Pelodiscus sinensis: one gene and its partners. The main gene of each other region encodes a partner of the protein of the gene in region 2 in a complex. Links are inferred from orthologs where the notes say so. Each region holds a gene or a part of one and is shown on either strand. Other genes may lie near its edges.

The links.
Region 1: TAF1A (region 2) and TAF1D share a complex: the UniProt entries of both Homo sapiens proteins name them as parts of the transcription factor SL1/TIF-IB complex. The link is inferred for Pelodiscus sinensis from reciprocal best matches to the Homo sapiens genes TAF1A and TAF1D.
Region 3: TAF1A (region 2) and UBTF share a complex: the UniProt entries of both Homo sapiens proteins name them as parts of the pol I pre-initiation complex. The link is inferred for Pelodiscus sinensis from reciprocal best matches to the Homo sapiens genes TAF1A and UBTF.
Region 4: TAF1A (region 2) and TAF1B share a complex: the UniProt entries of both Homo sapiens proteins name them as parts of the transcription factor SL1/TIF-IB complex. The link is inferred for Pelodiscus sinensis from reciprocal best matches to the Homo sapiens genes TAF1A and TAF1B.

Annotation. Positions count from the first base shown.
Region 1 is NC_134711.1:305,249,313-305,256,938, forward strand, and holds the start of TAF1D (TATA box-binding protein-associated factor RNA polymerase I subunit D), read right to left. Parts: upstream 3,001-7,626; 5' UTR 2,867-3,000; intron 2,340-2,866; 5' UTR 2,295-2,339; intron 1-2,294. UniProt on the Homo sapiens protein: Component of the transcription factor SL1/TIF-IB complex, which is involved in the assembly of the PIC (preinitiation complex) during RNA polymerase I-dependent transcription.
Region 2 is NC_134713.1:154,524,824-154,532,455, forward strand, and holds the start of TAF1A (TATA box-binding protein-associated factor RNA polymerase I subunit A), read right to left. Parts: upstream 3,017-7,632; 5' UTR 2,684-3,016; intron 2,226-2,683; 5' UTR 2,217-2,225; coding exon 2,069-2,216; intron 1-2,068. UniProt on the Homo sapiens protein: Component of the transcription factor SL1/TIF-IB complex, which is involved in the assembly of the PIC (pre-initiation complex) during RNA polymerase I-dependent transcription.
Region 3 is NC_134739.1:7,330,209-7,337,563, reverse strand, and holds the start of UBTF (nucleolar transcription factor 1), read right to left. Parts: upstream 3,012-7,355; 5' UTR 2,595-3,011; intron 2,568-2,594; exon of another isoform or gene 2,383-2,567; 5' UTR 2,125-2,382; intron 1,985-2,124; exon of another isoform or gene 1,806-1,984; intron 1-1,805. UniProt on the Homo sapiens protein: Recognizes the ribosomal RNA gene promoter and activates transcription mediated by RNA polymerase I (Pol I) through cooperative interactions with the transcription factor SL1/TIF-IB complex.
Region 4 is NC_134713.1:27,654,382-27,662,051, forward strand, and holds the start of TAF1B (TATA box-binding protein-associated factor RNA polymerase I subunit B), read right to left. Parts: upstream 3,010-7,670; 5' UTR 2,554-3,009; coding exon 2,536-2,553; intron 1-2,535. UniProt on the Homo sapiens protein: Component of RNA polymerase I core factor complex that acts as a GTF2B/TFIIB-like factor and plays a key role in multiple steps during transcription initiation such as pre-initiation complex (PIC) assembly and postpolymerase recruitment events in polymerase I (Pol I) transcription.

The DNA of each region.
Region 1 (7,626 bases), on a different chromosome or scaffold from region 2:
ACAAATATTTGCAAAATGAGCCCTGTACACTTTGAATTCTGTTCTAATTGAAGTCTGACAATGTAGAAATATCCAAAAATATGGAGCAGCTGGTTCTGGAACCCTCAAAAGGAGAGGTTCTTGATTTAGTCCTAAGTGGAGCACGGGATCTGGTCCAAGTAGTAAATATAACGGGTCCGTTTGAAAATAGTGACAATGTAATAAAATTTTACTTCCCTGTGGAGGGAAAAACAACACAGCAGCCCAACACCGAGGCATTTAATTTCAGAAAGGAAAACTACACAAAAATGAGGAGGTTAAATAGAAACTAAAAGGTACACCGCCAAAAGTAAAATCCCTGCAATCTGCACGGAAACTTTTCAAAGACCCTAAAATAGAGACCTAACTTAAATGTATACCCCAAAAAATAAAAACACAGTAAGAAAAAAAAAGTACCACTGTGGCTTAACCAAGTAAAAGAAGCAGCAAGAGATAAAGAGGCATTGTTTAAAAAGTAGAAGTTAAATCCTAGTGAGAAAGATAGTAAGGAGCATAGACTCTGTCAAATTAAGTGTAAAAATATTATAAGAAAAGCCAAAAAAGTATGAAGAACAGCTAGCCAAAAAAACTCAAAGTAACAACCAAATATTTTTTAAGAAAATCAGGAAGCCTGCTAAAGAACCAGTCGGGCCGCTGGATGATTGAAATGCTAAAGGAGCACTCAAAGTTGATAAGGTCATTACGGAGGAAACTAAACTAATTCTTGGCTTTGGTCTTCACAGCTGAGGATGTTAGAGAGATTTCCAAACCTGAACCATTCTTTCTGGTGACAAATCTGAGGAATTGTCCCAGACTGAGATGTCATTAGAGGTGGTTTTGGAATAAACTGATAAACTTAAGTCAGTGAGACCAGATGGAATTCACCCAACAGTTTGTAACCTATCCTTAAATCATCTTCTGTACCTAATGACTAGACGATAACTAATTTGATGCCAATATTTAAAAAGGGCTCTAGAGGCGATCCTGGCAATCTCAGACGAGTAAATTTAATGTCAGAACTGGGCAAATCAGTTCAAACTATAGGAAAGAATAGAATTGTCAGACACGTAGATGAACGTAATTTGTTGGGGGGAAAAGTCAACATTATTTTTGTAAAGGGAAATCATGCCTTACTAATTGACTAGAGTTCTTTGAGGGGATCAACAAGAATGTGGACAAGGGGGATCCAGTGGATATGGTGTACTTATTTCCAGAAAGCCTTTGACATGGTCCCTCACAAAAGGCTTGTAAGTAAAGTAAGTTGTCATGGGATGAGAGAGCAGGTCCTCATGGACTGATAACTAGTTAAAAGACAGGAAACAAAGGGTAGGAATAAATGGTCAGTTTTCAGAATGGACAGAGATAACTAGTGGTGTCCCCCATATGTTAGTACTGGGACCAATCCTATTTAACCTATTTATAAATCATCTGGAGAAAGGAGTAAACAGGTGGCTAAATTTGCAGAGGACACAAAACTGCTCAAGATAATTAAAAGTAAAGTAGATGGTTCAGCAACAAAATGGCAAATGAAATTTAATATTGATGAATGCAAAGTAACACACACTGGAAAAATAAACTAAACATACAAAATGATGGGGACAAATTTAGCTATAAGCACTCGAGAGAGATCTTGGGAGTCATTATGGATAGTTCTCTGAAAACATCCACTCAACATGCAGCGTCAGTCAAAAAAAAAAAAAAAAAAACCCAGAACATAAGGAATCATTAAAAAAAGGGACTGAGAATATTTTTATTGCCTCTGTATAAATCAGCGTACACCCATATAAGTCAGCGTACACCCATATCTTGAATACTGTGTGCAGATGCGGTCGCCTTATCTAAAAAAAGATGTATTGGCAAACATTGGAAAGAGTTCAGAAAGGGGCAATAAAAATTATAAGTAGTATGGAAAACCTGTCAAATGACTGTTTTTGTTCACTCTCCCTGGAGCATTTGGCATTGGAAACTCTGAGAAGTCAGGATACTGGGCTAGATGGACCTTTGATCTGACCCAGTATAGCCATGCTTATATATGCCCTCATTAATAGTATAACTGATTCTGATTTGTTTTTTTTAATTGCTTGACAGCCCTATTTATCACAAAAGCCACTAAACCTGCCACTCTACATTGGCCTTTTTGACTCTGAGGTCACTAGTGGACAAGGAGTGCAAGGTAGTTAGGGCAGGTAGGAAGGCATGGAGGGGAGCACTCCCAAACGTTTGTTACAGACTAGCAGCCACACACAGCTTTACCCCATGACTCCGCCTCCACCTACCTCTCCGTCTCCTCTCAGGATCAGGGCTCAAAGGACAAGCAGACTCTGCAAATGGAGGGACGTGGAGGAGTTAGCGCCTTGCCTTCCCGTCAAGCGGGCTTCACACAGAGCCGGCCCAAGCCATTCTTGCAACCTCAGCTCCAGGCGCGCGGCGCATGCGCGGCCCGCCTCGGGCGCGCGCGGCTCATTCTTGCAAACTCAGGCCCAGGCGCGCGGCGCATGCGCGGCCCCGCCCGGCCGCACCGCGTGGCGCCCCATAGAATCGGGCGCCCGGGCCTATCGCCCAGTCAGCCCCTAGCTTGGGCCGGCTCTCGCTTCAGACAGAGCAGCCCCTCAACAGAGGGCGCCAGGCGCCCGGCACGGCCGCCCCTAGCCCCGGGCACACGCATAAAGCTTTCAAGGGGAGAGGGGATCCAGGGCGGCGGCACCGCGCCAAGCCAAACGGGACGTCCCACGCCCGCCTGCCGCCGCAACAGCACCAGGGAGCCGGGCACGGCTGGGCGAATCTGCGGGGAGCTCCCTGCCCCGTAGCCACTGCAAAGGCCCCGCCGCAACCCTGCTACCAACCTCACCTGCCCGCCGCGCACCAGCCTCCGTCGTTTCAAAGGGCTCCTTCCGGTCACTGGGTCCGGGTCCATGTCGTCACATCCGCTGTAGCTCCAATCGCTAGCCAGTGGCTAAGGAAAACGCGCGAAGTCACCTCTCGCGGGTTTAGGACAGATAACTTACAATACGCATGCGCTTGGGAGGTGAGTCGCTGGATCAATTCATGGCTATGATTGGGCGCGAGCCAATGAGAAGGTTTGCAGGTGGGAACGCCCCTATGGTGGCATCGCCGTGCCTATTGGCCAATGGTAACTAAGACGGGCCGTGATTGGCCGGTGTAGTGTCAGGGGCTGGTAGCTGTAGGAATTAGCTGCGTGCGCTAGTTACTTACGCAGTGTCTGTGGGAGGGGAGATAAAAACGCGCCTCTGGACTGCGGGCGGGAAGGAAGCGCCATTTTGTGTGGGGCTAGGAGGGGGACTAGTACTGGGAGCTCGCTCGCAGGGGAGAGCCTTGGCGGTCAGGGCCGGCTCTTTGTTTTTTTCCACCCCAAGCAAAAAACTGTTTGGCCGACCCCTCTTTTTTCTTGGCTTTTCCACGTTTGCACTTTGCAATTTTTTGACTGTTTAAAATTTTTTTTAAATGAAAACAGAAAATTTGTAGTTAGTGAAATAAAACAATTTCTTGCTAGTGTACTCATTTAATTTTAACATTATTGCAATTACCCAAACCAAACTGATAGACTGCAGAGGGAGGTCCCAAAGCCATGCTTACAGAAAATGGGCTAATAAGGAGAAGGCCTGTGGCACCTTTTAGACTAACAGATTTATTAGAGTACAAGTTTTTGTGGCTAAAAGACCCACTTTTGCCCATGAATGTGTAAGCAGGGGCTGAACTGCTGCTTGCTGTCAGCCAGCTGAAAGGAGGGGTGGGTGTGCCCACTACAGTTGTTTAGCTCTACAAGGTAATTAACTGTTAACTGTTGACATGTAAATACTGCTCAGGAGAGAATCCAAGGTGTGGCTATGTAAATTCCATTCAGCCAGGGCTGATGGAGGGTCAGTGTTGGAATGGAATGTGGAGAATTGTATATAATTTGGGACTGTTGTGGGGGTCACTAATCATGCTACCCCTAAATGTGGGAACTGTAAAACATGCCACCAGTGCTTGCAGGAGAGACACCACCATCATGGTAAGAGGTCTCGGAAGAACAAGCCTCCCCCCTTCCAGAGTTGAGTGGACAGAGCTGGGGGAAAGGGTTAAAGGACTTGTGTCAGCCTGCTTCACACCTACCAGGTGTGAGCTATAAGACTGGCCCAGCCTGCACCTTTCCCCCTTTGTTTTAAGGACAGACCTAAAGCAGACTCCCTGAGGAGTCTTTTTGTTTGCTAGTCCAGTGAAAGCTGGATTCATTTGAGAGCTGAAATCACTGGTTTGGCTGAGAGTTGAAATCACTAAGCTGAAATCACTGGTTTGGCTGAGAGCCAGACCTACTGCAACCAGTAGAGTGGCAGCAGGCGAGGAGCGGCGACTAGCGGCGTGGCGTGGCGCGGCGGCAGGCGAAGAGCAGCCATCAGTGGCGTGGCGCGGCGGCAGGCGAGGAGCGGCCATTAGCGGCGTGGCATGGAGCGGCGGCAGGCGAGGAGCGGCGACCAGTGGCGTGGCGTGGAGCGGCAGCAGGCGAGAAGTGGCGACAGGTGCCCAGCGGAGCGTCCAGAGGTGTGGGACGAGACAGCTGGTGAAGCGTAGCGGAGTTTTCGTATAAGGTGCCCCCTATCTATCTCCCCACCCCCATTTCTACCCAGGTTGGGAGGTGAAACCCTGCGGGTGAACTTTGGGGCTCTGGGTGGCACAGAGACTTGTGGGGACAGAGACTTTTGGGGAGTCGGTGGACTTCGGGCGAATCTTGGCCGGGGTGGGGGCTCATGTTTGGGTTATGAACTCTGTTTGTGGTGTTTTCCCCAAGCTAATGCCGTATGAATTCTTCCTCTGTTTCATTAAATGTTCTTTTCCTACACTCAGACTCAGTGCTTGCGAGTGGGGAAGCATTGCCTCTCAGAGGCGCCCAGGGGTGCGTGAATTTCCCAGATCACTGGGTGGGGGCTCGAGCCGGTTCTTTGTGAGATTGACCCCAAGATATTGAACCCAGCCCTGGTTCCTGCCAGGCCTACCCGGCAGAAGGGCTACAAATGCTTGTGCTCTAATAAATCTGTTAGTTTATAAGGTGCCAGAGGATTTCTGGTTGTTTATGCAGATTCAGATGAACAGGGCTACCCTTCTCATTCTAAGGGTACGTCTAGACTACATGCCTCTGGTGGTGGGATGTAATAGTATAGTCCAGTGGTTTCCAGTCTTTTAAAGGATGAGATCACTTTTTGAATTGAAGTGCAATCCAGGATCTACCTCAAACCCAAATACTTTTGTCCCGCCTCCTTCATTCCCCTTCTCCAAGGCCCTGCTCCAGCTCCCTCCCTCCCCCATTATTCCTCCCTTTTATCAGGCAGGGGCAGAGAGTTGGGGTGCAGGCATTGATCATATGGATTTGGAGTGTGAAAAGGACTCTGAGCTGAGGCAGGGGATGGGGTGTAGGAGAGGGTACGTGACTGGGAGAGGGATTCAGGATGTAGGCTCCAGCTGGAAACTGCTTACCACAGGTGGCTCCTGTGTGGTGTTGCAATGGGGCTAAAGGCAGGCTCACCCCTGCCTGGCCCCGCACCATTCTCAAAAGCAGCCAGAAAATTCTGTCCATCCCAAACCCTTCTGTGCCCTCCACATCCATTCGCTGGAGATAGAATACACAGGGTGGGAAAAGAAAAAAGCTCGAAGGCAAAGAGCAGGAGGTGCTCAGCAGTGGGGGGAGGGGCAGCTGAAGTGCTGCACTTGACAGCCTCATGGCCAAACAAGTCGAGATCACCTGTCAGAGGCTCCAAGGTTGGTGACCACTGGTATAGTCAATTAACCGATAAGCAAAAGCTTATCGGTTAATGCTATAGACTACATGCATTTCCCTCTCCCTGCTAGTAAATTTTTTAACAGGCTGGCCAGCAGCCTGGCTCAGTCCTGGCTTGCCATGGGTCTAGGACCTATCCCCATTTCAGCTCTGCATTTCAAGTGTATTAAGAGCTAGATCGGGAGGCAGCTCAGTTCTGGCTCACACCGGTCCAGAAGCTGAGACCCATGCTGCTGCCTCTTTCTCAGAAGCAGCAGCACAGGGCAACAGGCAGCCGGTCTGTGAGGGGATCTGTTTTTTAAACTGGCTCCCTTTGCAGACCAGCTCCCACCTGGCACCCAGCACTGCTGGCCCTGCCCCAGGGGACTATAAAATAGTCAACTAACCGATAAAATTTCAGGAGGTTACTCTACTATTCAATTAACAGATTTTTAACATCCCTATATTGTGGATAATGGTAGAAATGTAGCCGTGTTAGTCTGGTGTAGCTGAAACAAAATACAGGTCTATGTAGCACTTTAAAGACTAACAAGATGGTTTATTAGATGATGAGCTTATTAGATGATGGTTTATTAGATGATGAGTGGGTCTGGCCCACGAAAGCTCATCATCTAATAAACCATCTTGTTAGTCTTAAAGTGCTACATAGACCTGTATATTGTGGATAGTTATCTGACAATATCTACTCAACGTGCAGCAGCAGTCAAAAATCTAACAATGTTGGAAATCATTAGGAAAGGGATAAATAATAAGACAGAAGATAACTCATCACCTCTATATAAATCCATGGAATGCCTACACTTGAATACTGTTATGGAAATGTGGTCATTCTGACTTAGTAAAAAAGGAAATACTGGAAGTGGAAAAGGTACAGAAAAGGGCAACAAAAATGATTAGGGTTTGCAACAGCTTCTCTATGAGGAGAGATTAATAAGACTGGGAGTTTTTAGTTTAGAAAAGATGATTAAGGGGATATGATAAAGATGTATTGAATCACAGCTGGTATGGAGAAAGTAAATAAGGAAATGTTATTTACTCCTTCCCATAACACAAGCACACAAGCAGTTATTTCGACATCTTATCTTATTATACTTTCAAAAGGATTTTCCTGCGGGACAACAGAGTGAAGTCATCCCGCATGCCCGGCTCCCCCTCCCCCGCATGCTCCATGGGAGCCACAAGCCATGCAGCCTCCCCCATACTCCAACTTGCCCCCGCGAGGCCTGAGGCAATGGGAGCCGCGAGCTGCATGGCACTGGGGGCATGCGGCTTCCCTCCTCCCCAGTGCTCCGGAGAGAGGTCGCATGGCTGCTCTACTTTGTGTCGTCCCGCCCTCCATGATCCTATCAGCTCCATGCCACACGGGCCAGTGGTTAACTCTTTCCCCACATGACGCCGGCCCCTGAGTGTAACCAGGGCCGGCCCAAGCCCTTTTGGCACCCTTAGCCTGGGAGCACGGTGCTGCCCCCAGGTGCAGGGCGCTTGCGCACGCCAGCCACGGCTGCTGGTGTGCAGCCCAGGGCCCGCCCCCGGGGCACTTGGCGAATGCATGGGCCAGTCACAGCCGCTAGCGCACAGCCCGGGGTGCACGGTGCATGCGCTACCCAGCCTGGCCCAGCCAGCGCTGCTGGCGCGTGCACCGGGCGGTGCAGGGCCCTGCAGCTGTGGGGGGCAGGGCGCTGCTAGTCGGCGCCACGGGGCCAGCACTGCGGGAGCCGGGCGCACGGCTCCTGATGGCAGCTGTAAGGGACGCCACGCGCCCCTTACAGCTGCCATCAGGCGCCCCCCATCGGTTGGCACCCTGGGCAGCTGCCCGGCTTGCCCATGCCTCCGTCCGG
Region 2 (7,632 bases):
ATGGTAGCAATCTCTGAAATGCATCCAGTTCCACATGCAGGGCCACTTTGGCAGAACTGCACGGTCTCAAAAGTGTGAATTAAATGATGGTATTCAGAGGAGGGATTATTAGGAATCTTTTGGGAAAGGAAGAACCTATATAGGAAGGATGGGCTCTACCTTCACCAAAATGGTGGCATGTAAAATTAAAAAGGTTGTGATGGAGTTGGGGAGAAAACAAGCAGGTTTGGAAATGTGGAGCGTCCAGTTTGGACACAGAGATACGGTAAGGGAATATTTATTAAAGAGAATACTCTACATCCTAATAAAGAAGAGAGGCTGGAAGTTGATAAAGTACAGGTGGGAAATGAAGAACAGTCAAAAGACTGTTTTTCAATTATGTCTGCCTTCATGTGAGAACTAAATATTGATAAATTTTATAAGTGCTATACAAATGCTAGAAGTCTGAACACTATGATGGGTAAAACTGAATGTGAAAGATACTGATAAAATAGGGCATCACAGAAACTTGGCAGGATGGTGATAATCAATAGGATATAGTGAAAACAGGGTAAAAATTATATAGATCTGACAAAGTAGATCATGCTGGTGGGGGAAGTGGCACTATCCATGGAAAAAAAAGCATAGAGTCATAATGAATCAAATAGTATCAACAGAATCTCTGTGGATAGAAATTCCATGCTTACATAACGAGAGTATAGTGGGAATGTATTACTGACCATCTCATTGTGACAGTGATTGTAAAATGTTCAGGGAGAGAACAGAGGTTAAAAAACAGAAAACCCAATAGTAATGGGGAGTTTCAACTTTCCCCATATCGACTGGATATATTTTGCCTTAGGATGGCAAGCAGGATAAAAAGAAGGGAGATAAAATTTTTAAACACCATTAAGGACTGCTTCTTTGTGCAGCAAGTCCTGAAACCCACGAGGGAAAAGTTTTAAATGGAGCACTGGACCTGGTCTAAGAGGTGAATATAGCTGACCCACTCAATAATAGCGACCAAAATTAAATTAAATTAAACATGCTTGTACAGGGGGAAAATATCAAAATAACTTCAAAAAGGAGACCACCACAAAAATACGGAAGTTAATTAAACAGAAATTAAAAGGAACAGTCACAAGAATGAAATTCCTGCAAGAAGCCCAGAAACAATTTTAAAAAATGCCATAATAGTGGCTCAAACTAAACACATACGCCAAATTAAAAAAAAAAAAAAAAAGAAAGCATCACAGTGTCTTAAAGTACAAGAGACAGTTAGAAGCAAAAATATGTCCCTTAAAAATTGGAAGTTAAATTTTACTGAGGAAAATAAAAAGATGCATAAACTCTGGCAAGTCAAATATAAAAATATAAAATCCATCTTTGAAGAGCCAAAAATCCATCTTTGAAGAGCATTCTGGAAAAGACACAAAACTAACAGCAAAATGAGTGTTATGTCCATCAGAAGTGGGGAGCCTGTCAAACAATCAGAAGGGCCACTGGATGATCCATGTGCTAAAAGAGCACTCAAGGGAAAAAAGGCTGTTGCTAAGAAGATAAATGAATTACTGATATTGGTCTTGACTGCAGAGGATATGGGGAGATTCCCACACCTGAGCAATTATTTTTAAGTGACAAATCTCAAATGGATCCAGATTGAGGTGTCAGTAAAGAAGGCTTTCAAACAAATTGATTTATTAAACTGAAAGGTCACCACAAGAGGTAGATAGATTCATGGAGGTTAGGTCCGTCAATGGCTATTAGCCAGAATGGTGTCCCAAACCTCTGTTTCTCTGGAAGTGGGCGACAGGGGAGGGATCATGTGAGGACTACCTGTTGTGTTCCTTCCCTCTGGGGCTTCTGGTATTGGCCACATGTTCTTATGCTATTCCAAAAGGTCCCTGACTCCTCGTAGAATGAGGATTACAGGAACACAGGAATAGTGAGCCCAGAATAATGGGCTTGCTGTGAAGACACAGGATAGCTATTTCGGGATACTCCAGTATCTTGAAATAGCATTGTAGTGTAGCCCTAGTTACCAGTATGTGCTACTATGAGTAAGCAGTTAACAGAAAATTACACTTACTTGTATGCTGAAGATACCTCGGAAGTACAGGTAAATGGATAGCTGGAAGTGAACTGCTTTCAATCCTTACTGCAGACCCATCCCATGCAGACTCTTCTGTAAACTCCTCCTGTGCCCCTCTTGTCAATTGTTCAACAAAACTGTCCATGTCTTCCACCTGCGAGGAAAACTTTTACACCTTAAAAAATTCACACACACACGAAATGGTGATGTGGGCTGTTTATTTAAAGTCCCATAGGTGAGGGGATGGGGAAAGCTCTAGGACGGGGAAGCAGAGGGAGGCAGATTACTTCTATTACTATTTTGTTACAGCAGCACCACTTAACAAGGGGAACACGAGCCTGCCTTACCCCAAACACACAGGGGGTCCATCTTAGAGCTGGTAGCTGCAGCCAGTTCTCCTAAGTCCCTGGCCAGTGCCTGACGGTGCTGCCAAATGATGTTTTTTCCACTGGTCTTAATTCCCCAGACTCCAAATCAAGAAGAGCCAGGGAATGGCCCAAGCCCGGCCTTGCAGGGCAAAGGGCACTAAGCACCTCAGAGCCCCCCCGAACCCCGCACTTCTGGCTTGGCCGGGCTCGCCCCGCAGCTCCCTCCCCACCGAGCCCTCCGCACCTGTATGAACCGAGAGATTCCCCCGCCGGCCAGCCCCAACCCGGCTCCTCCACAGCGCGTGGCATGTGCCAGGAGTTAGTACGCTCCTAACGGACGTTTCCGCATCCCGACACGCAGACGGCCATGTTTGGGTCGGGCAATGGAAGCTGTCATCGGCTTCTTCACGGACAGGCTGAAAACGTGATCTGACGTCACTTTTGCCCCAAGGCGGTTGAGCTGTTGCGCATGCGCTGTGTTCGCTCCGACAGCTCGCCAGTGCGCAAGCGGCGTCGCATGGGCCTGGGATTGCTCCCTTGTAGTGTGAGCCGCTCCCTCAGGGAATGGGGGCGGGGCAGCAGGCGCCTCCGCGAGAGCCGGGCCACAGCCGGGGGCAGTGGGCTGGGGCTGGGGCGGGTGGCACGGTGTCTGGCGCGTCCCGCAAGCGCTGCCGAAGGGACGGGGCGCCGCGCTGGGCCTGGCGTGGCTGGTGCCGGACCGCCCTGCCCTCTGGAGCAGGCGGAGCCCTGTGGCCTCTGACCTCCGCCTGCTGCCTCGTACAGAGCTGAGGCCGCGGCCAGGCTGGCGAGATAAGGGGCAAGCCCCGCTTGGCGTTACGGCGCGTCAGCCCCAAGGCAGGGCAGCTAATGCGCCTGCTGACACTGGATGAGCGGGTAGGAGAGTTACAGTGAGTTTGTTTGTAGCCATGTTGCTCTTAGGCGATGAGAGAGGCCAGGCAATATCTTTTATTGGGCGCACAGATGTTGGTGAGAGACCAGCTTTGGAGCTACATATACAGCACTTCTTCAGGTTCTGTGGCTGTTTGCAAAATAGGATTAATCAGATCACTTAGTAATTGATGTGCTAGAACAGTGGTCTCCAACCTATTTAAGCACGAGATCACCTTTTGAATTTAAGTACAATCCAAGATCTACCTCAAACCCAAATACCCTTGCCCCGCCTCCTTTGTGCCCCCTTCTCTGAGCCCCGCCCCTGCTCACTCCATCCTCCCTCCCTTCCTCCCCCACCCTCCCTCTTTTTCACCAGGCAGTAGCAAAGGGTTGGGGTGCAGGCCCTGGTTTTGGTTTAAGGGATTTGGAGTGCGAGAGGGGCACTGAGCTGAATTTAGGGCAGGCAGTTGGGGTTCTAGGTACAGGCTCTGGGAGGGTGTTTGCAGGGGTGCTTGAGGCTAAAGCAGGGGCTTGGAGTGCAGAAGGGGATTCATTACTTGGGGTTTAGAATGTCGGCTCCAGTGGGCCACCGCTTACCTCAGGTGGCTCCTGGGTGGTGGTGCAGTGGGGTTAAGACAGGCTCACCCCAGCCCTGGCCTTGCACTATTCCCAAAAGCAGCCAAACTCCCTCCATTCCAAGTCCTGTTGTGCCCCCCCTCCCTGCTCTGTGGACATAGGATACGGACTGGGATAGGATACCTTGACATCAGCGCCCCTCTTCTCCTGTGTTCATGGTACAGGTTGGCAACTGATTATCTCAAGAACTTATATTGGCCTAGCTACCTCTGTCATGTAAACTAAATTGATCTAATCTTGTATAGCCAGTGCTAGGTCAACAGAAGAATTTGTTCATGAGCCTAACTACTGCCTCAAGGAGGTGAATTACACCAAGGAGAATCTCTCCCACCTACATAGGTAAGTAGTGTCTATACTGAAGCACAGCAATGGTAGTATTTTAAGTGTGGACAAGTCCTAAGTGTAGGCAAACCTGGAGACCATGTGTACTAGGGGTGTGAAAGTATAACTGGGCTCATCGGTTAACCTTCACAGTTACACTCAGGCTCCCAGTGTGCATAGGGAGCTGACTTAACAGGAGCCAACTGCTTTCTCCCGCATGCAACACTGAAATTTGCAGTGGGTAACTGTTTACTTAAATGCATTTTAACATCCGTAGTGAATACACTTACTAGCTTTCAGTGGCACAACTGCACCAACTCTGCTGCTGTAAGAGCATTCATATAGCTGTGTTATGCTGACAGGAGACAGCTGTCACAGCGACATCATAAAACCAGCTCAGTGAGCAGTAGTAACTCGTGGATGGAAAAAGTTAGCGGGAACACTGGATGCCATAATGGTGACAAAGCTGGAGGAATAAGCCAGGGTGGCTTTCCCAATACCAAAGACTATTTCCAGAGAAGCCAAATAATGTTGGAGGAACTAACTAAAATTATATAAATACTATATAAATACAAAACTTCACAGCTGAAAAATCTGAAGCCCCTGGACACATAGCAAATGTCTTACTGAATCTGACACCTGGTTCATCTAGCCCAGGATCCCATCTCTGACAATAACCAACATCAGATGCTTCACAGAAATGTGTAAGAAATGGTACTAAGCAGATGTAAGATAATCTGCCTTCCAAGAGAGTACCTCCTTAACCTCATAATACTTAGATACTGTCTTAAAACTAGGGATGTTAACGTGTACTCGGGTACACAGCTAACTGATAAGCCTGAGCTCATCGGGTAACTCCTGGTGACAGGCACGCGCATGCACACACTCCCTGCTACCTCTGTATCAGAGGCAGTGGGGGAGATGGGAGGCAGGCATCTGGCTCCCTGTGCCTCTCACAGAGGCAGCAGCAGGGGCGGGGAGAGCTGCGTGTAAACGTAACCAGTGAAATTTTCAGTGGTTACATTAATTTTTGCAAAAGTGTATTTTAACATCCCCACTTAAACCTGAAATGTGGTTATTACTTTTTTTATTAGGGTGACTATTTGTTTCCATAACACACAAGTTTAAATATTTGGACCTCGACTGCATACACTTTATGATAAACCTAAGTCAGAAAAACAGAGAGGCAGGTACAGAGGAGGAAAAATATTTCTGGGTTAGATTCACAGTTGACCTTGTAGATTTCAGTAAAGAACTTATGAGGCAACAACTTTTTGCACACCAGAAAATTAAAAGCCCACATCAGTACTTGGAACACACTCTGTGGATTCCAGTTGACAAGGAGATATCTGAACCAATAGCCTGGATTGAAATAAAGTCTCAGTTTGCGTGCTGACAGTAAAAGACTATGTATTCACCGCATTATACCAGTGTTTCTCAACTAGTGGTATGAGTGCCCTTAGGGCAATGGTCACCAACCAGTAGGTCAGGATCTACCAGTGGATCTTGGAGCCTCTGGCAGGTGATCCTGACTGGTTTGTCTGGGAGGCTATCAAGTGCTGGCACTTCAGCTGCTCCTCTCTTCACTACCCTGCTGTTCCTGCCCAGAGCCTCAGAGCTGCCCCCTGGGAACCTCTTGCTTCTTGTGCAGGGTGGGGGAGAAAGAGGCAGGGGGCACATATGTCATTCTGTCCCCTTCTCCTGTACCCCATCACCACAGAGTGAAGAGGGAAGGGCTTCAGAAGGGGTGGGGCAGGGGTATTTGAGTTTGAGGTAGATCCTGGACTGACTTCACTTTTTGAATTTATCTTGTGCTTTAAAAAGTTGGAGACTACTGCCTTAGGGGAACTCGAGAGACATCTAGGGGGTACGCCAACAACTGAAATTTGGAGAACTGAATTTTTGTTTTAAGTTTTACAGCGCTTTATTATTTTTCTACTTTTCACACCCCAAAATTTCATTGCCCACCCAGCTACAATTAAGTTTTTTAAACAAATGTGTTGCAGTGGTAGAAAAAATGTTTGTGTATCTGAAAACTCTAAGTGGTGGGGGTATTTAATTTTTTTTGTTAAAAGGAGTACTTTTTTTAAAAAAAAAGTTGAGAAACAATGCAGTATACCATAGGGAGAGAGAACCAGAAGCAATTGAGGAATAGAGGATATTGTGCCTGCTACAGTGCAAGACAGGCTCTGCAGATTTTTTCACTGCTGGCTTTTTTTTAAGTGTTCTCTGCTTAATTTTTCCCAACCCTCATCACAAATACAACAGTAATGAAAACTAGAGTATTAACAACAGACTAGATTTTAAAAAGGCCATTGATGTTAAAGTTCAATATTTGGATACTACTGGCATTCACAATACCCCTGTTGAGGTTCTGCTGTCTAATCAGAGGAACAGCTTCACGAGGAGAGGTTGAAAGAGACTTGTATCAGAATATCCTATATCTCAGTGGGTGGGACACTATTGTGGTATGATTTGAAAAGGCATCTTCCACCTTCCTATCAAGTAGAGAAGGGAATTGACCCCAGCTCCATCATTCAGGTGAGTGCTCTAACATCTGAGGCACCACAGGTACCTCAGCATTTTTGCAGGAAATGTCCAAGCTATGTGTCCTCAGAAGCTTTGTGAAACCTATTACTGATAACAATGCATATGTAGGCACTTGTATAGCCCTCAGCACTGTGGTAGACTAACTAGTAACTATTTTATATGATCAATATTGGTTTTTTAATTATTATTTTTAAAGAGACAAGGATGTTGCCAAACTCACAGAGGTGCAACTGACAAAAGATTTTATGTTGTCTGAACTTGATATATATGCCCTTTGCTTTATTAAACTATGTTTAAATGCAATTGTAGGTAGGAGGGTAGGAATTTTTATCTATGGACAAAGGATTAATCATATCATGACCTGTATTTTAAGAATTGCCATAGACTAAATCCTTTTATTAGTTTTTCTTGAGGATGTTTGTTTATATATATTAAAGAAATTTTGTCAGCTATTCATTTAGAATGTAAATGCCTCCATTCAAGGAGTCTGGCTTTTTCCAAGTCTTGGGTAGTACAAAGCAATACTAAAAAGCCACTCAGCTCCCACCAGCAATAGCTGGTTCCTCGATGTCCAAACACACCAACCAACGAGGATCGTATAAACTTTCCAGGAACTTGTTTCACTAAACCACCTTCAAAAATGTTAGGCTTGCCCCAGTGTTGATTGCAAAGTTTGCATATGATTTTTGTGGGGGGTTGGTTCTGAAGAATAGTTGCAGATTTTCTAGGGTATTCATACCCTCAAATATAATACATATGAAAATATATCTTAATAATCACACTGATAGCCGGGTA
Region 3 (7,355 bases), on a different chromosome or scaffold from region 2:
GAGAGAGGGAGGGGCAGGCTCGGATGGCGGGGGGGGGGGGGGGCAGATCTCCGAGAGAGGGAGGGGCAGGCTCGGATGGCAGGGGGGGGCAGATCCCCAGACGGGGGGAGGGGCAGGCCCGGATGGCGGGGGGGGGGGGGGCAGATCCCCGGGCAGGGGGAGGAGCAGGCCCGGATGGCAGGGGGGGGGCAGATCCCCGGGCGGGGGGGGGGGCAGATCCCCGGGCGGGGGGGGGGGCAGGACCGGATGGCAGGGGGGGGCAGATCCCCGGGCGGGGGGAGGAGCAGGCCCGGATGGCAGGGGGGGGCAGATCCCCGGGCGGGGGGAGGGGCAGGCCCGGATGGCGGGGGGGGGGGCAGATCCCCGGGCGGGGGGAGGAGCAGGCCCGGATGGCGGGGGGGGGGCAGATCCCCGGGCGGGGGGAGGAGCAGGCCCGGATGGCGGGGGGGGGGGGCAGATCCCCGGGCGGGGGGAGGGGCAGGCCCGGATGGCGGGGGGGGGGCAGATCCCCGGGCGGGGGGAGGAGCAGGCCCGGATGGCGGGGGGGGGGCAGATCCCCGGGCGGGGGGAGGAGCAGGCCCGGATGGCGGGGGGGGGCAGATCCCCGGGCGGGGGGAGGGGCAGGCCCGGATGGCGGGGGGGGCAGATCCCCGGGCGGGGGGAGGGGCAGGCCCGGACGGCGGGGGGAGGGATCCCCACGTGCCCTGCGCAGCCCCTGCCCAAACGCAGCTCAGGCCAGCGCCAGTCTCCTCCTCTTCCACCAGGCAGCGGCAGCCGGGCGGGACCGACGCGCCAGCAGCTGCCGCTGCGCCGCCCTCCCCCACCCCCTCCGGGGAGAGCAGGCGGCCTCCTCCGCCGGGCGCCGCGGCGACTCCCCCGCCCGCCCGCCCGGCGCCGCGCGGACCGCGCCGGCCCCCGCCTCGCCCCGGCGGGCAGACCCCGGGGGCGCCCGGCGCCGCGCGGCCCCCCGGAGGCTCGGGCCCTCCGGGGCCCCCGCACCTCGCCACCCTCCCCGGCCGCCCGGTTACCGGGCCCGTCGGGCAGACACTGGCCGGCTCCGCCCGCCCCGCCGCCGCCCAGCCCGGCTGCAGCCAGCGCGCCGCGGAAGCCGCCCGCCGGACCCACCTCCAGGGCAGGGGGAGGGGGCAGGACTCGCCGCCGCGGCAGCCGCAGCCTCGCCGGAGCCGCGGGGGGAAGGGGCGGAGGCGGCGGCGGGGGGCGTCGGGGCCGCCGCAGCGCGCAGAGCCGGGCGAGGGCAGCGCGTCCTCTCCCCGCACCGACCCCCGGGGAGCGCGGCCCGGCCCAGAACCACCCAGCCCAGCGGGGGGCCGGAGCCCCGCGGCCGCCGGGGAGGGGAGCCAGCCTGGGCACGCACCCGCCCGACGGCGACCGCCCCAGCTCCGGAGGGGAACGGGGTGGGTGGATGGGGGGGGTGGGGGGGACAACCGCCCGGCCCCGGGAGCCCACCCCCGAAATCCCGCCGCGGCTGCCCGGCCGGGGCCACGCTGCTACCTCGTGCAGTCCCCCCTTCCGCGCGGCGGCGGCTGCGCCCCCTTCCCTGCCGCCGCGGCTCCGGGGGGTCCGGTTCTGCAGCAGCTCGGGAGCCGCTTTGTACGCGCCTATCCCCGGCGGGCCGAGGCTCCCGGAGCCGCCGCTTCCTGCCTGGCGAGCCGCGGGGCCTTGCCCGGGCTGCGAGCGCGTGGAAAATCCAACCCCGCGCCGCCCGCCCCGAAATCTCCCCGCGCTACCCCCCAAAAAAGCCCCCCGATCCCCGCTGCCTGCTCCCCCGAGCGCCTTCCCCTCACCGAGTAAGCCGGGCGGCCGCCGAGTCTGCAACCGGGGGGAAGCAGCAGCAGCTGCTGCAGCCAACCACCACCGGAGCCTGTGGAGGAAACAAAGCGCCTCCTCCAGCCCCAGATGGCGAACCAGAGCGTCGGCTAATGGCGAGCTCCACATGCGCTCCTGCTGCAGCAAAGCAGCCCGGTGCAGCCAGCGTAGCCTCGGATCGTGCCTTCTCCCCCCTCCCCCTGATCCTTCTCCCACCCACCCTCCCTTGCAACAGGGGGCTGCATCGGGCGCGTTTACTGCTGGAGGTCTCGGGTCTTTTTTTCGAAATGCACCTACCTGCAAACCAGCCAGGCTGGAGAAGGCGCTTGGGGACGGCTTTTTTTGGGTGCTTTAGCTGGGGAGCGCTGGTTGAATGCTAGCCAGCTCTGCAGCGCTGGCCCCGGGCGTGGACTCGCTCCAGTCCCCGCAGAGAGATTGCACTTCCCCCGCCTCCATCTCTCTGCTTTTTTCTTCCAATCAGCCGGGCTCTTTTCGCTCCTGGATCCTTAGCCAACCTCACAGCCCTTCACAAGTCTCCACTTTTCCATCTGCTCCCTAAACGGAATTGTCAGAGAAATCGGTCTCGTCTCTTTTCACTCTCTTCTGGCTCTTACGGGATTGTGTGTCTGTCTCTCTCTGACTCTCTCGCTCTCTCTCTGTGCGTGTTTATTGCTCTTTGCTTTTGCAACACTGTAGCCAAAAGAAGAGAAGAGGAGGAGGAGGAGGGAGAGACAGGGAAAGAGAAGGAGGAAAAAAAAAAAGCTTACATTTGCAACAATCCTCTTCTGACGTTTGCACCAAAAATTCACATGGTCGATTTCCTACAACCCACCTCGAATAGCACGAAAAAAAATAAGTTTTTTTTTAAAGTTCCACCTATGCACAAAAATAAAATTCAGATTTTCTTTGTCAAGTTCCGAGAGCGGGGACAGACATTTGCACCAACGCAAAAGAAGGAACCTGAACTACACTGCAAGTGGCTGCCTTGTAAACAGGCTCTCGGGGAAGAAGGAGACGGGGAAAAAAATGGGGAGTTTTGTTGTGTGTCTCTTGCACCAGGAAATGCACAAACAGGTCGAGAGTGAAATTCACACTTTCCTCCCGGACTGCGTGAACCGCTGGATTTGTTAACGATACCGTGAAATTGACACTCTTGGATATTTCAAAGCCGGAGGGGGCTGGGTGAAGGGAGAGTTTTTCCATTTCCTCCCCCCCCCCTCAATTTTTTTTAATCTAATTTTTCCAACTCCACCTTTGTTGTTATGGGCGTCATCTGCTGCTAGCCAATCCCCTGTCTGGGATCTGCCTGTCAAATTAATGGCAATCCCAATAAGCAAGCGGCTTCTACAGACCAAAAAAAAAAAAAAAAGCAATTAAGTGTTATGAGCTCTCTTGGGGGGGAAGAGTGGGAGGACCTGCTCTAAGGCCTATACATGTGAGACCAGGAGGGTGCTGCATGGTTTGGCTTTGGCTGTCAATGCAGGGATTCCCATAACACTGTGTGCAAATGCTTGCCTGCCTTGTTGCATTAGATATGTATCAGGCACCAGGGATATTTTTTTATATATGGAGAAATGTAAAGGGGTTGTCAGACAGCACTGCTGAGTGTATACATGGTTTTGTTACCACAGATTAATGCAGATTAGTTTAAACATGCTGGTAATGAAGTGGGAGCTAGAGTACTAAGCCAGAGACAACATGAGTGAGGTAATATCTTTTATTAGATCTGTTGGTTTAAAGTACATGCTTTTGAGTTACACACAGCTCTTCAGGTCTGGGGAAGGAACCAAAATATAAACAGTATCTTTAGGCCTTGTCTACACTAAGGAATTTGGAATAAAAGTCTTATCTTTGTTAACATGGGGGGGTGGATAAAATTCTACAATTCTACATGGATTTCAGCCTTGTTCACTTCCTGCTCTAAAAACTCTGTCCTGTCACTGAGGTGTCTTAAACAGATACCCCTGTTTCACCTAGGGGCTAGTAGCTTTTCAAAGTGATCCTTCTCTGTGAAAACCTTAAAAATGTACCTCTTGTCTTTTCCACATAAGATGAGTCAAAAATGTTAAGGAGGGTGAAGGCCTACCCCTTTCATTCTGGATACAAGCTGTGTGCACACGCAATAATTCTGCTGTGTTGTTTTTGTGGGCATATAGATGATCCTAATGCTGGGCTGAAGGTGATCTTCCCGTTCCATGGTAGGTTTGGAACCTTAAAAAAAATTCCTACAAATAGGTAGGAAAGGTCAAAAAGCTCAAATGTCCTTAAACGAAAATAATCTGAAAAAAAAAATTGGATCAAGTAAATTAAAACATTTGGTTTCAATTTAGATCTTTTTTAGCTTTTAATTTTTTTTAACTATGACTCAACATTTCTCACTGAGAAATTGTTTGGAAACAAAATGGAACCTTTGCATTGAGAAGTTGTCGAAACTGAACATTTTGTCAGTGTCTAAACTTTTTTCAAAAATGTTTGGAATCGCTTTCCCGACTACGCGGGCTTTGGGGCACGTTACATTCTTGTGCCTCTATTTCCTCTCCCAATCTTACCTGGTCATGTCTATTGAGATAGAGAGAATGCTTACTCTGAAGAGCTCAGTATGGGTGCATCTACACAGCACCCTTAGCTCAAAGTAAGCTACACAATTCGCGCTATGCAAATTGCATAGCTTATTTTGATGCTATTTCAAAATAGCTTATTTTGCAATTTGGTGCTGTCTACACAGTGCCAAATTTTGAAATAGCTCGCTATTCCAAAATTCCCCTTAACCCTCGCGGAATGAGGGTAACTGGGATGTTGGAATAAACCGCCTGTTATTTCGAAATCTATTTCAAAATAACTGGCTGCTTCAATAGACACAGAAGAGCTATTTCAGGATACTTCGGGTATCCTGAAATAGCTCCGCAGTGTAGATGTACCCTATGTGCTTATATTGTGCACAGCACAACAGGCCCCAATGTTCATGGGTGCCCTGAGGTGTGATTGTGAACATAAATATTTATCGCAGTATCTTTTGCAACCAGCTAGTGTGGTAGGCTGACTGGTAAAGATTGCTACTACTTGCTACTACTGATAAAGCATCTATTTGTGCACATGTAATATTAGAACATAAAAACAACCACAGACCAATATTCCATCTAGTCCAGGACCCTGTCTTCTGACAGAGGCTAAGGCCAGTTGCTTCTGAGGGAATGAAGAGAACAGGCAACCATCAACATTTCCAGCCCCTGGCATCTACTCCCAGCATTTGGCATTCAAAAGCTGGGGATGCTCTGATCCTAGTGTTGCATCCCTGACCATCGACACCAATATCCATTGCTGTATCTATTTCTTTTTTGAACTTGTATTGTTTTGCCCTTCACAACCTGCGGCAATGAGTTCCACAGGTCGACTGTGTGAAGAAGTACTTCCCTTTGTTTGTTTTAAACCTGCTGCCTATTACATTTTATTGGGTGACTCCCGGTTCTTGTGTCATGGGAAGGAGTAAATACCACTTCCCTCTTCACTTTTGTCCCACCAGTCAAGGTTTTATAGACCTCTACCACATTTCCCTCGCGTCATCTCTTTTCCCAAACTGAAAAATCCCAGGCTTTTCAATGTCTCCTCATGCAGATGTTGTTCAGATGCTAATCATTTTGGTTACCACGCTCTGCACTTTTAGGCTATGTCTACACTCGTGGCTTCTTGTGCGAGCAATATGCAAATGAGGCTAAGCGTGGAATATCGGAAAACACTACTGTGCTGTCTACACTGGCCCTTTTCCGGAACAGTTTTCCGGAAAAAGACTTTTGCCCGAACGGGAGCAGCATAGTTTTTCTGGAAAAGCACTGATGATTTTACATGAAATCGTCAGTGCTTTTTCGGAAATTCAAGCGGCCAGTGTAGACAGCTGGCAAGTTTTTCCGGAAAAGCGGCTGATTTTCCAGAAAAACTTGCCAGTGTAGACACAGCCTAGGAGTAAAGTCTGAGGGCTTGTCCATACCAAAACATTGTTCCTTTGGGCTATGTCTACACTGCCAGTTTTTGCGGCAGAAAATATACTAATGAGGGACTCATTTGCATGAGTCATGATCTCATTTGCATAATTTCTGCCGATCCATTTTTGCGCTAAGCGTTTTTGCACAAAAACAAAGTGTTTTCCCTTTTTGTGCAAAAACCCCTTTTTCCGCAAGATTGGTATACCTCCTTTTTTGAGGCATAAGGATCTTGCGGAAAAAGGGGTTTTTGCGCAAAAAGGAAACAACCACACTGCTTGTTTTTGTGCAAAAAGCCCTAGCGCAAAAACGGATCAGCAGAAAATACGCAAATGAGATTGCAATTCATGGAAATGAGTCCCTCATTCACATATTTTGTGCCGCAAAATCTGGCAGTGTAGACGTAGCCTTGGAAGACAATGCCTGTGCTTTTAGTAGGGACCCCACAGCAGTGTCCCAGCAGAGTACACTTATTGTAAGGACAAAAAACAAAAACAAAAGGCACAGAGAGGATAAGCACCAAACAAGACAAGTTCCTAGACGAGTTAGGAAACTTTTTTGGTTCAGAGGCCACACGCACAAGTGAGAAGCAAAACAAAAGAAAACAAAAACCAAAGATGTGGCCTTCACCTGAGAAAGAGAAAGACCCTCCCCACATTCCCCTCACACACCAGAGCTTAGAGGGGCCCAGGCTAGTAGATTTTGTGGGCGCTCCAGTCCTGTGGAGGCAGGGCTGGAGCCCAGCATATGCTCCCCAATCTGGGGAGAAGCCTTGAGCCTCGGCGGGGGGCCTTAGGTCCCCCACCCCGGTCCTAGAGGCTGTAGCCTTAGCCCAGGTTGGCATGAGTCTTATGGGATCCTAGCAAGCCAAAGACTTTCCAACCCTTCTTGCCTGTCTGCTGCATCAAAAGGGAATCCCTCCATCAGCTCAAGCCCAGCTCTTCAGACCGAAACACCTTTCTCGGTGGCTGCCACTGGAAAATCCAGTTTGGGCTCCCCAAGGAGTGGGGCTTCTGGGTACCGACCCCAGCCTGGAGTCTGGCCATGAACGTCTCTGCTACTTCAAGCTGTGTACACGCCACAAGGCAGGTCCCAACATTCTGGGGTCCAGTGCGCATACAAACTATGGGAAGTCCCGCCTCCGGGGTTTGACAGGCAGCAGCCCCATGGCTCCTGATTGGCTCCCGGACCTATTTAAACCTGGGAGGCGTTCCCAGAAGCATCCAGGTCATGTGGTTTGTCTGTAGCTGCTGTTCTGGTCTTGAACGCCTGGCTTTTGACTTTACCTCCTGACCCAGAGCCTGAAATCTGACCTGGTCCCTGGGTACCAACCCCAGCCTGGAGTCTGGCCATGAACTTCTCTCCTATTCCAAGCCTCAGGTTTGTCCCTCCTCTGACCCTGGACCCTGAGGGTCCTAGTGAAGATGCTGACAGTAATTACCCCGTTGTACTGAGCACCTGGAAGTCCTCCTCCATGGAGCAGAACACAATCCTACAGAAACGATTATAAATGTAACCCCCCAGGATGCTGCATGGGATCGCAGTAGAGTTGCC
Region 4 (7,670 bases), about 130 Mb from region 2:
AAAAGCAGAGCCACAGCAGGGGTAAGTTCCATACCCGGCGCAAGCCAAGACTAAGCCGGGCTGCTGGCCAGCCTGCTAAAAAAACGTACTGGCAGAGGGATGCATGTAATCTATAGCATTAACCAGTAAGCTTTTGCTTATCAGTTAATCAACTATACTATTAGATCCCTAACCTCTACCCCAACTCGTGCCCCAGGTTACAACACTCTCCTGCACCCAAACCCTCTATACCCCCTCCTTGAGCCCTGCCTTAGGTCAGAATCCTCTCCAGCACACAAACCTCCTTACAGACTCCTTGGTGTATCCTGATCCCCTACCCCAAGCTCCATTCTGAGCCTAACCTCCATCACAGACCCCACACTCCTCCATTAATATCACAGAAAACTGAGACCTGTGACTTACCAAATTCTTGGAGTGGCTCCCCATGAAAAATTATTGCCCATGTCTGGTCTAGCTTCAACTTCCAGATATGGTATCTTTTTCTATAGCTTTGTCTACTAAACTGAGGAGCCCAGAAGCACATTTTTGTTCGCCACAAAAATACTTATAAACTGTGATCAAGTTACCCTTTAATCTTCTCTTTGTTAAACTAAATATATTCGAGATTCTTGGGTCTATCACTGTAATTAATATATGTTTCCAATTCTTTACCTGACCTGTGTTAACTGCTGTACACAGCAACACTATCACAGGGTGAAAACCCATGTAACTTATGCCTAGCATGGTTGTTAATGGTTAACCAGTGAAGGCTGCTTCAGCTCCCAGGGGGCCCACCTGCCCCGTTTAATCGGTTAACTGATTAAACTTAATGCTTAACCACCTAACTAATTAAATGGGATTTTACATCCCTAATGCCTAGAATACTTGACACTACAGGACATTAACAAAACATTAGGAAGGGAAGAGAATATTAGCTGACAGTCAAAAAAAGAAGTGAAGGAAAACTTTAGTAAACTGTACACCAGAAAAAAAAAGTTAGAGAACACAAGGAATGGAAGAAAGCCTGCAAGAATAAAAGGTGACTAGAGACACCCAAGAAAAAGAGATTAATTAAAAAGTAAGGTCTCATTCTGGATCAGCAGTGGGCAATTATTTTTTGCCAGGGGTCACTTCAGAAATTTTTGAAGTGGCCTCAGGCCAAACCGGAAGGCGCGGGGCCTCGAGCAGAAGGAGCGGGGGGGGGGGGGGGGGGGGGAGGAAGAGAGGATGCTTTCCCACCCATAGACCATGATTGGTCCAGGGGGATGGGAGAGCGCCTTTGCCCCCCCTCCCGAAGTTCCCCCTAGGTATCCATGCCCCTCACAGTGAGAGGAGACTTTGCGTGCTCCCTCTTCTGCCCCCAGACCAATCAGGGCTTGGGGGTGCAGGAAGTGTATGAAGTCTCCTGCCACCCTACAAGGAGTTGCGCACTCCTGTCAGGGCGAAGGAAACTTCATATACTCCCCCCTGCCCCCAGGTCCTAATTGGCCTGGGGGTGGGGGAGTGGCAGGGCCTCTGCTGGCTGAATCAACCCACTTGGCAGGCCACATCCAGCCTGCGGAGGTCCTTTTTTCCACCACTGTTATGGAAGGAATGAGGACATGGGAGAGAATCGATGGGAGAAATATTTTTTAATATCGTAAAATTCTGTTTGCAGATTTTAAAATTTCTTAAATCAGCTTAACTTGTTCTGCTAAATCATTAATTACCCATTCAGTTCAGGATCATAGATACCCTCCTCCCCAAAAGTCACTTGCACTGATTTGCCCACAGTGGATCCTTAATCTGTCAGTGTCCTTTCATCTCGCAAAATGCAAAGTTATTTCAATGAACCATAGGCAGAAACCTACCAAATTCACTGTCCATTTTGATCAAGTTTGCCATCATAGGGCTTTAAAAATTGTAAATGTCACATCAGCTATTTAAATCTGAAATTGTACCATGTTGTAATTCTAAAGGGTCTGATCCAAAAAGGAGATGTGTATGTGTGTGTGGGGAAGCAGGGGTTGCAAATGTATTGGGGGAAAAGGAGTAGTACTGTAGTACTGCTACCCTTACTTCTGCACTGCTGCTGGTGGCAACACTGTTTTCAGAGCCTAAGATAGCGGGAGAATGGCAGTTGCTGACCAGGCTCCGAGCTCTGAAAGCAGAGCCACCATCACCAGCAGCGCAGAAGTACGGGTGACATGGCATGGGATTGATGCCTTTTCTTCTGCATGGCTGCTGGTGGGGCACTGCCTCAGCACTGGGCACCCAGGAACAGCTGCTGCTCTCTGGCCACCTGTTACCTACACTCACACCACAATCCCAGCCCAGCCTACCCCATCCTTGTCTGCCCGTTAACAGGGCAAAAACCCCGACCTTCAAAATGGCCCCATTGCTCATACCCGCCCCATTGCCCATCCCATGTCAATCCGCCCTCCCACCACAACCCCCATTGCCGCCCAGACACCACCCGCAGCCCTTCGCCAACCCCCGTTCCCTAACCCCGCCCCCGCGCCCCCGCCCTGCTTCCCGCTCTCTCCCCGCACCGGGCGGCTCCGGGCCGCGTCTCACCGTTTCCTCCTCCTCCATGCCTGCGGCCCGCGCGCCTCAAACCCGCTGCCTCGGGCCTCGCGCTCCGGCGGCAGCGCGCGGGGGAAGAGCAGCCGGCCAGGAACCGGGGCCGCGCGTTTGGGTTCCGGCCGGGTCCTAGGGCCACTCAGCTCCCCAGGGAGCGCCCGCCTCGTGCGCCCCTTCCCCGAGGCAGCGGGCAGGCGGCGCCGATTTGCATCCCCTGGGCTCAGCCTGGATGGGAATCTGCCCCGCGGACTTGACTGAGCCACAGCCCGAGGCGGAAGCTGCTGCATTATTCGCCAGCTGAGGACTGAGCCCGGGACTTGTAGGGCAGAAAGCTGGTGGCCCTGGCTGCTTGAGCTCCCGGAGAAGCACCTCGCTGCTGTCCACCTGTTACAAGACGCACCAGCGGAGCTAGATCCGCCCTCTCCGAATGTGCACCACACTTTTATTTTTTTATTACAGACCTTTGTTTCGGTGATATTTCATATTTGAAACGTAAAGAGTTAAGACTTTACCAAATGCATCAGAAGAACGATTATAGTACAACCTGAAGGAGAAATTTTTCCTAGTCTTTGCCAGTTAGTGATTAGTTTATATCCTGAACCATGACAGTTTATAATCTTCCTTCTATAATGTAACTGTGATGGTTGTCCCTATCCATGTAGATGTATAAATAATATTTTTTTTAAATCCTACTAAGAGCTTGGACTCTGATATATTGTGCTAATGAGTCTCATAGGTTAATTATGCATTATGTAAAAATATTTGTTTATTAGTTTTAAATCAGTTGTTTAATGGTCAAGGGCTCAGTTTTATGTCCTGATACAGGACACTGTTCTGACAAACTTTTTAGTTTTTTTAAATGTCTGAGCAATACCATAAGCTGTTCTAAATCACATGTTTTTGCAGAGCCATCTGATGCAAGGCCAAAGGATTGGTATCTATAGCCACCTAAGAAATGCTTGTCATTATGTTCAAAAGTCCATGTCATAGAGTGGCTGTTACAATTACCACAGAACCATATCAGACAGTGAAAAGTCTTACTGCTCTTACTAATGAGAAATACTAATTATTTCATAGCACCCAAAAATGTACTAAGTGCAAAAGAGAAGCCACAAGCCAGTAATTGTGGCATAAAGATCTTCTCTCTAATCAGGTCACAGAAAGTACCAGCAGCAGCCCAAGCAAGTCCCAGAGATGGGAGGTCAGAACTGATAGGGAGTAAGAAGGAGTTCTTGAGTACTAAAGGGGGAAAGGAGGAAAGATGTTGGGGAGGGCAGAGTTCCTGGAGACCATGAGTGCAAAGAAATTAAGCAGAAATCTGAGCTTTATGGGATGCTCTTGAGGCATAAGAAGGCCTTCCAGAAGCTGAGGATGAAAGGAAAGAGGGAGAATGTGGGCAAGAAATGTGGTTCTTGAGGGATGTAAAATGCTATTTGCTTTTTCCTGGGAAGAAACCCCAGATCCTCCTCCCTTTTAATTTTGTTCCATCTGATCCCTGTTTGTTAGTTAGTTAATTACAATTGCACTCCTGTATACAAGGGTCAGGAAAAGAAGGGCAGAAGTTATAGCAATAAAATTATGTAGATACTTAGCAAGGCTAGATACACAACACGGCGAGCAATGGGGGTTTTGTTGAGGAGATTGGGGGAAGGGTCAGGAGATCACAATCCTGACCTGACCTTGAGTTCAAAACCTGTACCTGCCAGTGCTTTGCTGTCTCAGTTTTCTCATCTGTATGTCGGGACAGTAACAAAATGCAATTGGTCTGTGGTAAGGATGTTAAGGACTAAGTGACTATCCGATAAGCAATGCTTATCGGATAGTCAGTTGACTAATCGATCCCCTCCCCGCCCTTGTTGGCTCTATCAGATAGAAGCAGCAAAGGGGGGGAGAAGAGGGGTTAGTTAAAGCGACAGCACCACACAGCTGATCCCCAGCTCAGCTGTGCAGCGCTGCCTCTTTGAAATGCTGAGGCAGCGTTCAAAGGGGCAGCGCCGCATAGCTGATCCCTGGCTGAAATGCAATGCAGAACCAGGGATCAGCTGGGGAGTCCCCAGCTGACGCCGGGCTCCGCGTGGCATTTCAAATCGGCAGTGCAGCATGGCGCCCAGGGTCAGTGAGGGACTTTTAGTCCTCCACTGACCTCGGGCTCCATGCTGCGGTTCCACTTTGAAATGCACAAGAGCCCCTGCTGGGGACTCTTGTACACTTCAAAGCAGGCACACCCATGTGCAGCCCAGAGTCAGTGGGTCTTCCTGTTGGTCCCGGGCTGCACACAGAGTTCCATATTCCTCCTTTGAAATGGAGGAATTGGAATGGCGGGGGCTCTTGTACTTTTCAAAGAAGGAATGCGGAAGTGCCTATCGATTAGTCGAGTAGTTGATGGAAATTCCATCGACTACTCGCCTAGTAAAATAACTGATAACTAACATCCATAGTCTGTGGAATTAATTACCATGAAATATCACTGAGGCCAAGGACTTGGCAGAAAAGGGACATTTATACAATGAGGAAAAACCCCAGAGTTCCAACAATTATGATTTTAAAAAACAAAGTCTGGAAGAGTTATAAACCCTCATGCTTAGCTTCAGAGTATAAGCCAGCCTCTAACTGTGGGGGGTAATAAAGAAACTTTCTTTATGGACACATTATCCCATACATTTTTTTCAGAATTTCTTGTGTGTTTCTAAAAATATCTGGTACTGGCAACTCTCAAAGACAGACCACTGTTTCAATGCCACATGACAATGCCTGTATTCCTACAGCACAAGAGTTTTGTCAGGAATAATTTAGTTAATCTCAGTACAATGCTTTGAACAGGTATAGTGATACATAAACTCTAAGTATACTTTTTTCAGTTGATGTAGTTGAACATGTAGAAACATGGTGTTGGATCATGATGGGTGTTCCATGCACAGTAGATGCTATAGAATCATAGAAGTGTATGGCTGGACGGGGCCTCTACAGGTTATCTCTAGTCCATCCTCCTGTGTTGAGGCGGGATTTAGTATAGCTACGCTATCTCTGACAGGCATTGGTCTAACTTAGTTTTAAAAACCACCACACACACAGGCTACGTCTACACTGGCCCCTTCTCCGAAAGGGGCATGCTAATTTTCAACTTCAGAATAGGGAAATCCGCGGGGGATTTAAATATCCCCCACGGGATTTAAATAAAGATGTGCGCCGCTTTTTTCTGGCTTGGGGAAAAGCCGGAAAAAAGCGTCTAGACTGGCCCGATCCTCCGGAATAAAGCCCTATTCCGGAGGATCTCTTATTCCTACTTATTCCTTCCTTTGAAGTAGGAATAAGAGATCCTCCGGAATAGGGCTTTATTCCAGAGGATCGGGCCAGTCTAGATGCTTTTTTCCGGCTTTTCCCCAAGCCGGAAAAAAGCGGCGGACATCTTTATTTAAATCCCGTGGGGGATATTTAAATCCCCCGCGGATTTCCCTATTCTGAAGTTGAAAATTAGCATGCCCCTTCCGAAGAAGGGGCCAGTGTAGACGTAGCCACAGATTCCACAGCCTCCCTTGGAAGCCTTATAGTTTTTAAGTTTTTCATAATATCTAACCTAAATCTCCCTTCTTTCAGACTAAGGTGATTACTTCTTGTTCTGTCTTCAGTGGACATGAAAAATAATTGATCACCATCCTCTTTATAATAGTCCTTCGTGAGGCTCAGGGCTGCCCCCTCCTGTGGGGCTGGAGTACACAAAATCTATTAGGCTGGGGCCCCTTAGGCTCTGGGGGCAGTGTCTTTCTCCTTCTTAGTTGCTGGCCATGTCAGTGAAGATTTGGATTTTTTATTTATCCAGCACCTTTGAGACCTGACCATTCCCAAATAGTGAATTTGCCAGAACAAAGAAGGTTCCCTGCCACGGCACCTAGTCTTACTCTGCCAACTGGGAGGGAGAGGGGAATGAGACGGGGGCACTACCTCCAGCCCTTGCTGGGCTTCCTGCTGGGTTGCTGACTCTACAGTTGCTGCCCCAGCCAGACTACCTGCTGGGCTCCAGCAGCCCGCACTGTCGGGGATTGGTTCTGGCTCTGGTCAGGCTGCCAGAGGCTGAAATAGAATAAAAATATACAGTGCTCACTTTATGTTTTTATTACCAATATTTGTACCGTAAAAAACTAAAATAAGTAGTATCTTTCAATTCCCCCATTACAAATACTGTAGTACAATATCTTTATCAAGAAAGTTGAGTTTATAAATGTAGAAGGATGCACAGAAATCCCTGTATTCCAAAATAAAACTATGTAAAATTTCAGAGCCTTGCAATGACAGCTTCTTCAGGCTGTCTGGGGTTCTAACAGATTTATTAGGGCATAAGCTTTCATGGGTAAAACCCACTTCATCAGATAAAATTGGAGTGGAAGTTACAGAGGCGGGGTATATATGTGGTAATGAGGCTAATCAAGACAGAGTGGAAGTGGCTCATTCACAGCATTTGGTGTGGAGATGTGAATATAAAAAGAGGAGAAATTGCCTGTGTAGTGTGTTAACCAGTTAAGATCCTTATTCAATCCTAAATTGATTGTATTGAATTTGCAAATTAACTCCAGTTCAGATGTCTCCCTTTTTAACTGGGTTTTGAAATTATTTTGTAGAAGGATGGCTACTTTCAAAAATCCATTTCTGAATGTCCAGGGAGGTTAAAGTGTTCCCCTACCAGTTTATGTGTGTCCATATATCCTTTGGTGTAGAGACAGTCTGGTTTGGCCAATATATATGTCAGAGGGGCATTGCTGGCACTTGATGGCATATATCACATTAGTGGTTTTGCAGGTGGGTGAGCCCTGTGATGGTATGGCTTATGTGGTTAGGCCACACTATAACAATCATTCTAGGACCCCTGCCTCTCTGTACCTCACAAATTCTGCTGGCTGAGTTGTGAGAGAATAAACTCATAACCTTGCATTCTCCCCAGCCCTTCCAGGGTGATTTACACAGCTGAGGAGCTAAGGAAAGGAATTACACAGAGAAAGGAGACTCCATGTGCCCTTCTTCTGCATGTGTTAGTCATAATCTGGCCCTTGTTAATACACTAATGATATCCACAGATTATTGATTATTATAACCACTTCCACTTAGTTATCTCTTAAGCTGAACATATTTAGTTCCTT